Xenopus tropicalis: one gene and its partner. The protein of the gene in region 2 purifies or fractionates together with the protein of the main gene of each other region. This does not show direct contact. Links are inferred from orthologs where the notes say so. Each region holds a gene or a part of one and is shown on either strand. Other genes may lie near its edges.

Region 1 (4,231 bases), on a different chromosome or scaffold from region 2:
CCGCAGAGTGAGAAATGACCCTTTGCTTCCTACTGCTCCATTCAACCAAAATTGGCATCCCTAGCGGCTAACCTGTGCCCCTAACTAGGCATCCCCAGCGGCTAACCTGTGCCCCTAACTAGGCATCCCCAGCGGCTAACCTGTGCCCCTAACTAGGCATCCCCAGCGGCTAACCTGTGCCCCTAACTAGGCATCCCCAGCGGCTAACCTGTGCCCCTAACTAGGCATCCCCAGGGGCTAACCTGTGCCCCTAACTAGGCATCCCCAGCGGCTAACCTGTGCCCCTAACTAGGCATCCCCAGGGGCTAACCTGTGCCCCTAACTAGGCATCCCCAGCGGCTAACTTGTGCCCCTAACTAGGCATCCCCAGCGGCTAACCTGTGCCCCTAACTAGGCATCCCCAGCGGCTAACCTGTGCCCCTAACAAGGCATCCCCAGGGGCTAACCTGTTCCCCCTAACTAGGCATCCCCAGCGGCTAACCTGTGCCCCTAACTAGGCATCCCCAGCGGCTAACCTGTGCCCCTAACTAGGCATCCCCAGCGGCTAACCTGTGCCCCACCCCCCAGAAGTTGATCTGCTTGATGGCCATGGACCCTGGTAGAGGTAATTGTAATGATTCAGGTGTGTGACAGCTGCCACCCAATGTGCCCCTTTAACCCCTTATCATTACAAAGCACTGTGTAGGGCATAAATGGCTGCAGATTAGGGGGTGTATAGCCTATGGCAGATCCACAGGAACATTATACTGCATGTTAGAAGTATATTATATGCAGCACTCAGGGGACCCCAACTTACTACTTATTAAAAGAAAAAAGTTGTAAAAACCAGGGCCAAAGTAAATAAAAATGAAGGGGTCCTACCACATAACCCAGTGATACCCTTACATAGCTCTAAAAGCTACCCCACTGCCCATTTATATATATATTAGCCCCAGTGATACCCTTACATAGCTCTAACAGTTACCCCACTGCCCATATATATATATATATTAGCCCCAGTGATACCCTTACATAGCTCTAACAGTTACCCCACTGCCCATTTATATATATATATATATATATTAGCCCCAGTGATACCCTTACATAGCTCTAACAGTTACCCCACTGCCCATTTATATATATATATATATATATGAGCCCCAGTGATACCCTTACATAGCTCTAACAGTTACCCCACTGCCCATATATATATATATGAGCCCCAGTGATACCCTTACATAGCTCTAACAGTTACCCCACTGCCCATATATATATATATGAGCCCCAGTGATACCCTTACATAGCTCTAACAGTTGCCCCACTGCCCATTTATATATATATATATATTAGCCCCAGTGATACCCTTACATAGCTCTAACAGTTACCCCACTGCCCATATATATATATATATATATATTAGCCCCAGTGATACATTTACATAGCTCTAACAGTTACCCCACTGCCCATTTATATATATATATGAGCCCCAGTGATACCCTTACATAGCTCTAACAGTTACCCCACTGCCCATTTATATATATATATTAGCCCCAGTGATACCCTTACATAGCTCTAACAGTTACCCCACTGCCCATTTATATATATTAGCCCCAGTGATACCCTTACATAGCTCTAACAGTTACCCCACTGCCCATTTATATATATATTAGCCCCAGTGATACCCTTACATAGCTCTAACAGTTACCCCACTGCCCATTTATATATATATTAGCCCCAGTGATACCCTTACATAGCTCTAACAGTTACCCCACTGCCCATTTATATATATTAGCCCCAGTGATACCCTTACATAGCTCTAACAGTTACCCCACTGCCCATTTATATATATATTAGCCCCAGTGATACCCTTACATAGCTCTAACAGTTACCCCACTGCCCATTTATATATATATTAGCCCCAGTGATACCCTTACATAGCTCTAACAGTTACCCCACTGCCCATTTATATATATATATATATTAGCCCCAGTGATACCCTTACATAGCTCTAACAGTTACCCCACTGCCCATTTATATATATATTAGCCCCAGTGATACCCTTACATAGCTCTAACAGTTACCCCACTGCCCATATATATATATATATATATTAGCCCCAGTGATACCCTTACATAGCTCTAACAGTTACCCCACTGCCCATTTATATATATATTAGCCCCAGTGATACCCTTACATAGCTCTAACAGTTACCCCACTGCCCATTTATATATATATATGAGCCCCAGGAGCCCAGCCCCACACCCCCAGTACATGCCCTGTATACACCATCCCCAATGTAACACAACACGGAGCTGCAAAGCTTTCAGCGCATTATAAGCAATACAGTCCTGCAAAGCATTCTGGGAGCTGCGGTTTCACTACAACTCCCATCATGCCCTGACAGGTAACACACTGTATCAGCAGCCAAGGAAGAAGAGTTAGGCCGTAATGAATTGCAGCAAGAGGGAATGCTGGGAGAGCCATGCTAACCCACGACTCCCAGTATCCCTCCGCCAGCAGCAAGGATGCCCATGGGCCCCGGAGGTGGCCTGCCCAAACTGAGCCCGCCCCTCCTCTCTCAATGGTATTTACCTGCCATGGCTGCCCTCTAGGACCAGGCCTTTCCCGAACCCGGGAGGGGGTTTCCGCCCTTCAGACTCTCGCTGCCCTCCCTCCCCCCGGTGGCGCGGCTGCTCGGATAGGTGCGTGTGGAAGTCCCTGCCTGTGTGGGAGGGAGGGGACTGGGGGAAGGAAGGAAGGAGAGAAACGGGAAGCGCTTCGGGAAAGGGGACGCAGCGCTCAGTAGCCGCCACTCTCGGCTTCTCCGGGACGGGGTTTCAAAATGGCGCCCATGGCCCGTCGACATGATTCGGTGACGTCATTTAACCCTTCTGGCGCCGGGCGCGGCACTGAGGCAAAAGAGTGAGAGTGAGCGATGCGGCCGCCCCTCCCCTCCTGACCGGCACCAATAGTGGGCGTGGTGTTTTTTGCCTGGCTCCATTCGATTGGTCGGCGGAGCCTGAGTGTATATGCATAGGTGTATTTATATATCGGCAGGGATATTTATAGGGACAGTGCTGCTGCGCTGGGCTTGTGCGCAATGGCGGCTCCGGAGGGGGCTGTTAGTGAACGAGGTATTTTTATCAATTGGGAATGAGGGGTAGAGGCACACACAGTGGGACACACCGATGTTTCCATACACACATACGTGCTAATCCTAGGGGCAGGTTTAGTGTAGAGAAGAGGGAGCATTTTCTCTGAGCCACAGTTACATGGTGGGTTATATATATATATCAGGGATGTGCAGCCTGGGGCCCCTTACTCTCATCAGCATCATTTGTTTCTGTGGCATCTAGGCTCAAATGTGAGGGCTAGAAAGAAAGCGAGTACTGAGAGACAGGCACTGAGAGACAGGCAGCAATACAGTGAGACTGGCACTGAGAGACAGGCAGCAATACAGTGAGACTGGCACTGAGAGACAGGCAGCAATACAGTGAGACTGGCACTGAGAGACAGCCAGCAATACAGTGAGACTGGCACTGAGAGACAGGCAGCAATACAGTGAGACTGGCACTGAGAGACAGGCAGCAATACAGTGAGACTGGCACTGAGACACAGGCAGCAATACAGTGAGACTGGCACTGAGAGACAGGCAGCAATACAGTGAGACTGGCACTGAGAGACAGCCAGCAATACAGTGAGACTGGCACTGAGAGACAGGCAGCAATACAGTGAGACTGGCACTGAGAGACAGGCAGCAATACAGTGAGACTGGCACTGAGAGACAGGCAGCAATACAGTGAGACTGGCACTGAGAGACAGCCAGCAATACAGTGAGACTGGCACTGAGAGACAGGCAGCAATACAGTGAGACTGGCACTGAGAGACGGGCAGCAATACAGTGAGACAGGCAGCAATACAGTGAGACTGGCACTGAGAGACAGGCAGCAATACAGTGAGACTGGCACTGAGAGACAGGCAGCAATACAGTGAGACTGGCACTGAGAGACAGGCAGCAATACAGTGAGACTGGCACTGAGACACAGGCAGCAATACAGTGAGACTGGCACTGAGAGACAGGCAGCAATACAGTGAGACTGGCACTGAGAGACAGCCAGCAATACAGTGAGACTGGCACTGAGAGACAGGCAGCAATACAGTGAGACTGGCACTGAGAGACAGGCAGCAATACAGTGAGACTGGCACTGAGAGACAGGCAGCAATACAGTGAGACTGGCACTGAGAGACAGCC
Region 2 (3,947 bases):
GTGACTTAGATCGCTTACCTTCTACCCCGGGCTGGTGCCCCTGTATGGAGAAAACAGCACCAGCCCGGGGTAGCAGCGAGCGATTCCTCCCTCGCTGCGCAGTAGAGTGAAAAGCCGAACTTTAACAGAGAAGTCGGCTTTTTCACTCTACTGCGCAAGCGCCGGACTCTGAGTCCAGGGGAAAGGGAGGCGGAAGGGGGAAGTGCATTGCCCCAGGTGCCCTGGGCTGGTGCAGTTTTCTCCTAACAGGGGCACCAGCCAGGGGTACGAGGTAAGCGATTCAAGCCACTTGGGGGTGCCTAACATTTTAGCACCCCCAAGTGACTTAGCCTTTCCTTCCCCTTTAAAGAGCTGTGTTCTGGCCATTATATCAGACATCTGCCCACTCCAGTATGTATAGATTACATTTTGCCTAACTATATTGCAAACATTTTTTATTTTGGGCAGTCTCTTTTACCCAGTTCCACTTTTACACAGAACCGCTGCTCACTATGCGAATGTGTCCCCCAACACTAAACTATTCAACTCCTAAAATTATCAGAGGCAGATATTTTGCACCCCTGGTACCATGAAAAACACCTTTACAAAACGCATTATAATATTAGACAGCTTTATATTATAAGGAAATCGAGCTATATTTATGCATCTATGTCAAGTTGCATGTACACGTACCGCAACTATACGTTTCCAGTTTTATAGCAATGGGGTGTCAAACACGAACACATCTGCCTTTCCGCTGTCACTTTCACTATACTCTACTCCACCCGTTTCTACCCACAACAACCCAAATAAAGATCATTGAGAAAAAAAAAAAACGAAAAAAAACTTTTTCTGCAGGTGGGGGCTTCCTTGCGCATGCGCGCATCCCTCCGCCTCTCAGTCTGACGTTGCGTGTCTCCGTGCACGCTTCTGTAGTTTACGGGCGCGGGCACGCTCTGTCGCTGTGCAGGTTATGCCTTGTGTCGCGCATGTACATTTCAGTCTGCCATTCGTTGTCTCTGTGCGTTTTATCAGCTCCACCCCCTCTCGGCGCGCTCCCGCAAGTACGGGGGTGAAATTGAATGAGGAGGAGGAAAGCTACAACGACATAGTCGCGTTTCGGCCTCCTCCTTTTGACAGGCAATACCTTAACATAAGCCTTATTAATACGTGAATATTTCCGTCCGGTCATCACCGGCCGTAGCCTCGCACGAAGTTGGGGGGTGGGAGGCGTAGGCCGTGCTAGTGAATGTGTGACAGGAGAGGGGGCAGAGAGGAGGGGTAGCAGACCGATCGGCACAGTGCGGAATTTCGTGTATGTTTGTAGCGTGTGTTACCGTGGAATAGTGTGGTTGTCTGGAAGTTTCTGGCATGGAGGACAAGACGTTTACTAAAGAACTGGACCAGTGGATCGAGCAGCTCAATGACTGCAAGCAACTCAACGAGAGCCAAGTGCGCACCCTGTGCGAGAAGGTGAGACCGGCCCTGTGCAGCAACGTCTGTAAACACTCAGCCCCACATACATAGGTGTATAGCACTCCCAGCATGATACCGTCATGATCTCGTAGGGGGAATACATGCTACGCACAGAAACATACACACGCCTGTAAGGGGCCTCGCTTGTTCATACAGGCACGTCCACACAGCAAATAAACATACATCAGGGGATTTACTGTGTAGGATTCTGATCTTGAAAATTGTATTTAGTTCCCTTTTGATTGGCAGCTGTTGGTTCCAGTTTCTAAGACCCCCTGCTTATTTGAATGTATTAGTGTATGTATTTATATCTTTATTTAGCAAGCACTACTTATGTGCGCAGCGCTGTACAGTAGAATACATTAATACAAACAGGGGGTTATTAAGATAATAATAGATAAGTTTAAAGTATAACAATAAATACAAGATACAATTGCAATAAGTTAAGGGTCAAAGAGACAAAAGGATGGAGGTCTCTGCCCCGTAGAGCTTACAATAGTGGCATTAGTATTCATTTATTTTCAGAATACAATTTGACATGTGGAATTATCTTAAAATGTTCCTTTAACATATATGTGTATTGTAGCTAATTACTATTCAGAGTGAGATTTTATAATTTGATGGGTGCCTTGAACACAGCCAGTGTTCCTTTCTCAGGGATTTATTTTCTAAATTAAACGGGCAACAATGTACCCCTATCATCTTTGCTAATAATCATAGGGTTGGCAGAGTGCATTGATGTGACTTTATGATGTAATAACAGGCACAAAGTTTGCTAAAGCATCTTTAAATCCATAACATTTAATCAACTGTTTGCTCTCAAACAGCAGATTACAAAATACAAACAGATGGATTGCAAAAACTGGAGGAAACTTTTCACCTGTAATGCAAGTGTTTCCTTGTAGGGAAAATCACTACAGTTAAGTGATTCTTGCAGCTAAATGCTGTTTAAGGACTACAGCACACAGAGCTACTTGTAGCGGCTACAAAGCCCCAGAAAATACTTTGCCATAGACAGTACTGAGAACCATCTTTGCTAAAACACACGTAGAGACAATTATCAGTACTATTTTGTAGCTGGTGCAATTAGCTCCATGTGTCATTGCACTAAAGGTACAAATATAAAGTTAATTTTTGATGAGTACCTTTCTTTAATCCTTTGAGAGCTTGATACTTATGATGTAGCCAGACTGTTTTCAGTAAACACGTGTCACCTCTCTTAATACTGTTGAATACTTGTGGTGACAGGTGGACCTATGCGCAAAGCTTTTGCTTGAGTGTATTGGGCCAGTGTGTCTCTGTTACCTCTTCATGTCCATCTGATATGGCACTTTATGTTCAGTAGTAACATTATGGGTGATAGGACTATGGCCTTTTCTTTACGCGTTGTGTGCCATTAATCTAAGCATATTTTCATTTACCTATCTTTTTTTTTTTAAATAGCTTTTGATTTATCAGAATCCTTATTTTATTCCCCCAGCCTTCAACTGAAAATACTGTTTGGTTGTCAGGGTTTCCTGATCCTGACAACCATTAAACTGATTGACTGACTGTAAGTCCTCAGATGTGTTGCTGTTTTTATTTTCATTGCACATCATTCTAATGGGACACTTTACTGTTCATCTTCATTTTGAGTTTCTCTTTTGTGTCTGGTTGTTAGGCCAATTAAGTCCTACCATCCTCATATCAGTTGAAATTCCAAGCTGCCAAGAAAAAAAAAAGAAGGCTGATTAATAATTGTTATAGAATGCTACCATCTATACCATATGTGGAACTAATTTTAGGATGAACTACTCCTTTAAGTTTGGGTTCTTTAATGGTGCTGTGCTACAGTTAACAGCATCGTTCAACATAAAATCAAGCATCCAGACATAATGGGAAATGAAATGTGTGTCCATCTAAGGAAATAGGACTATAGTACTTCACAACATACAATAATAACTATATCTAACTGTATATATAACTAGGCTAAATGTAAAATAAACCAAACAGTAAAACTTTGAAGGGTAAGGTCAGCTAAAAGAAGCCATACATCCTCCACTGTAAATTAAATTTACAGTGGCCTTTCACTTTAGTAATAAATAGCGCATGACTTTTGAGCACCTTTTAATCCATTTCACCCTAACTTTTCTGTTTGTTAACTCTCAATTTCCTTTGCTGAAGAAGGTAATATTTTATTTATTTTACTCCCCCTTTTAAAGAAGAAAATAAATAAAGCCCTAACTCATTACAGCTAGAAATACTTTATTTTATAAACCAATCATACAGTAGAAGCCCTACAATAGTAATGACCCATTCTTTCAAAGTTGTCCACAGCAGCTCATAAATTTTGATCACTAGACCACTTTGTGCTTGCCAGTGACTCGCCACAGGCTAATTTTTCATGTCATTAAAATTATTGAACAGAAAGTGATATTACATTTATTATAGAAGCTGAAGCTACTGGGATGATCATTTGCGATCCAAAATGCACTGGTTAGTGTGAGGTGATG

The links. The genes of interacting proteins can lie anywhere in the genome.
Region 1: the proteins of ppp2cb (region 2) and ppp2r2d purify together in Homo sapiens (affinity purification with mass spectrometry; 6 studies listed by BioGRID and IntAct, counting the BioPlex papers as one, with this or other methods). This does not show direct contact. The link is inferred for Xenopus tropicalis from reciprocal best matches to the Homo sapiens genes PPP2CB and PPP2R2D.

Annotation. Positions count from the first base shown.
Region 1 is NC_030683.2:21,335,409-21,339,639, forward strand, and holds the start of ppp2r2d (serine/threonine-protein phosphatase 2A 55 kDa regulatory subunit B delta isoform), read right to left. Parts: upstream 2,807-4,231; 5' UTR 2,579-2,806; coding exon 2,572-2,578; intron 1-2,571. UniProt on the Homo sapiens protein: Substrate-recognition subunit of protein phosphatase 2A (PP2A) that plays a key role in cell cycle by controlling mitosis entry and exit. Involved in chromosome clustering during late mitosis by mediating dephosphorylation of MKI67.
Region 2 is NC_030677.2:97,482,270-97,486,216, reverse strand, and holds the start of ppp2cb (serine/threonine-protein phosphatase 2A catalytic subunit beta isoform), read left to right. Parts: upstream 1-1,143; 5' UTR 1,144-1,350; coding exon 1,351-1,452; intron 1,453-3,947.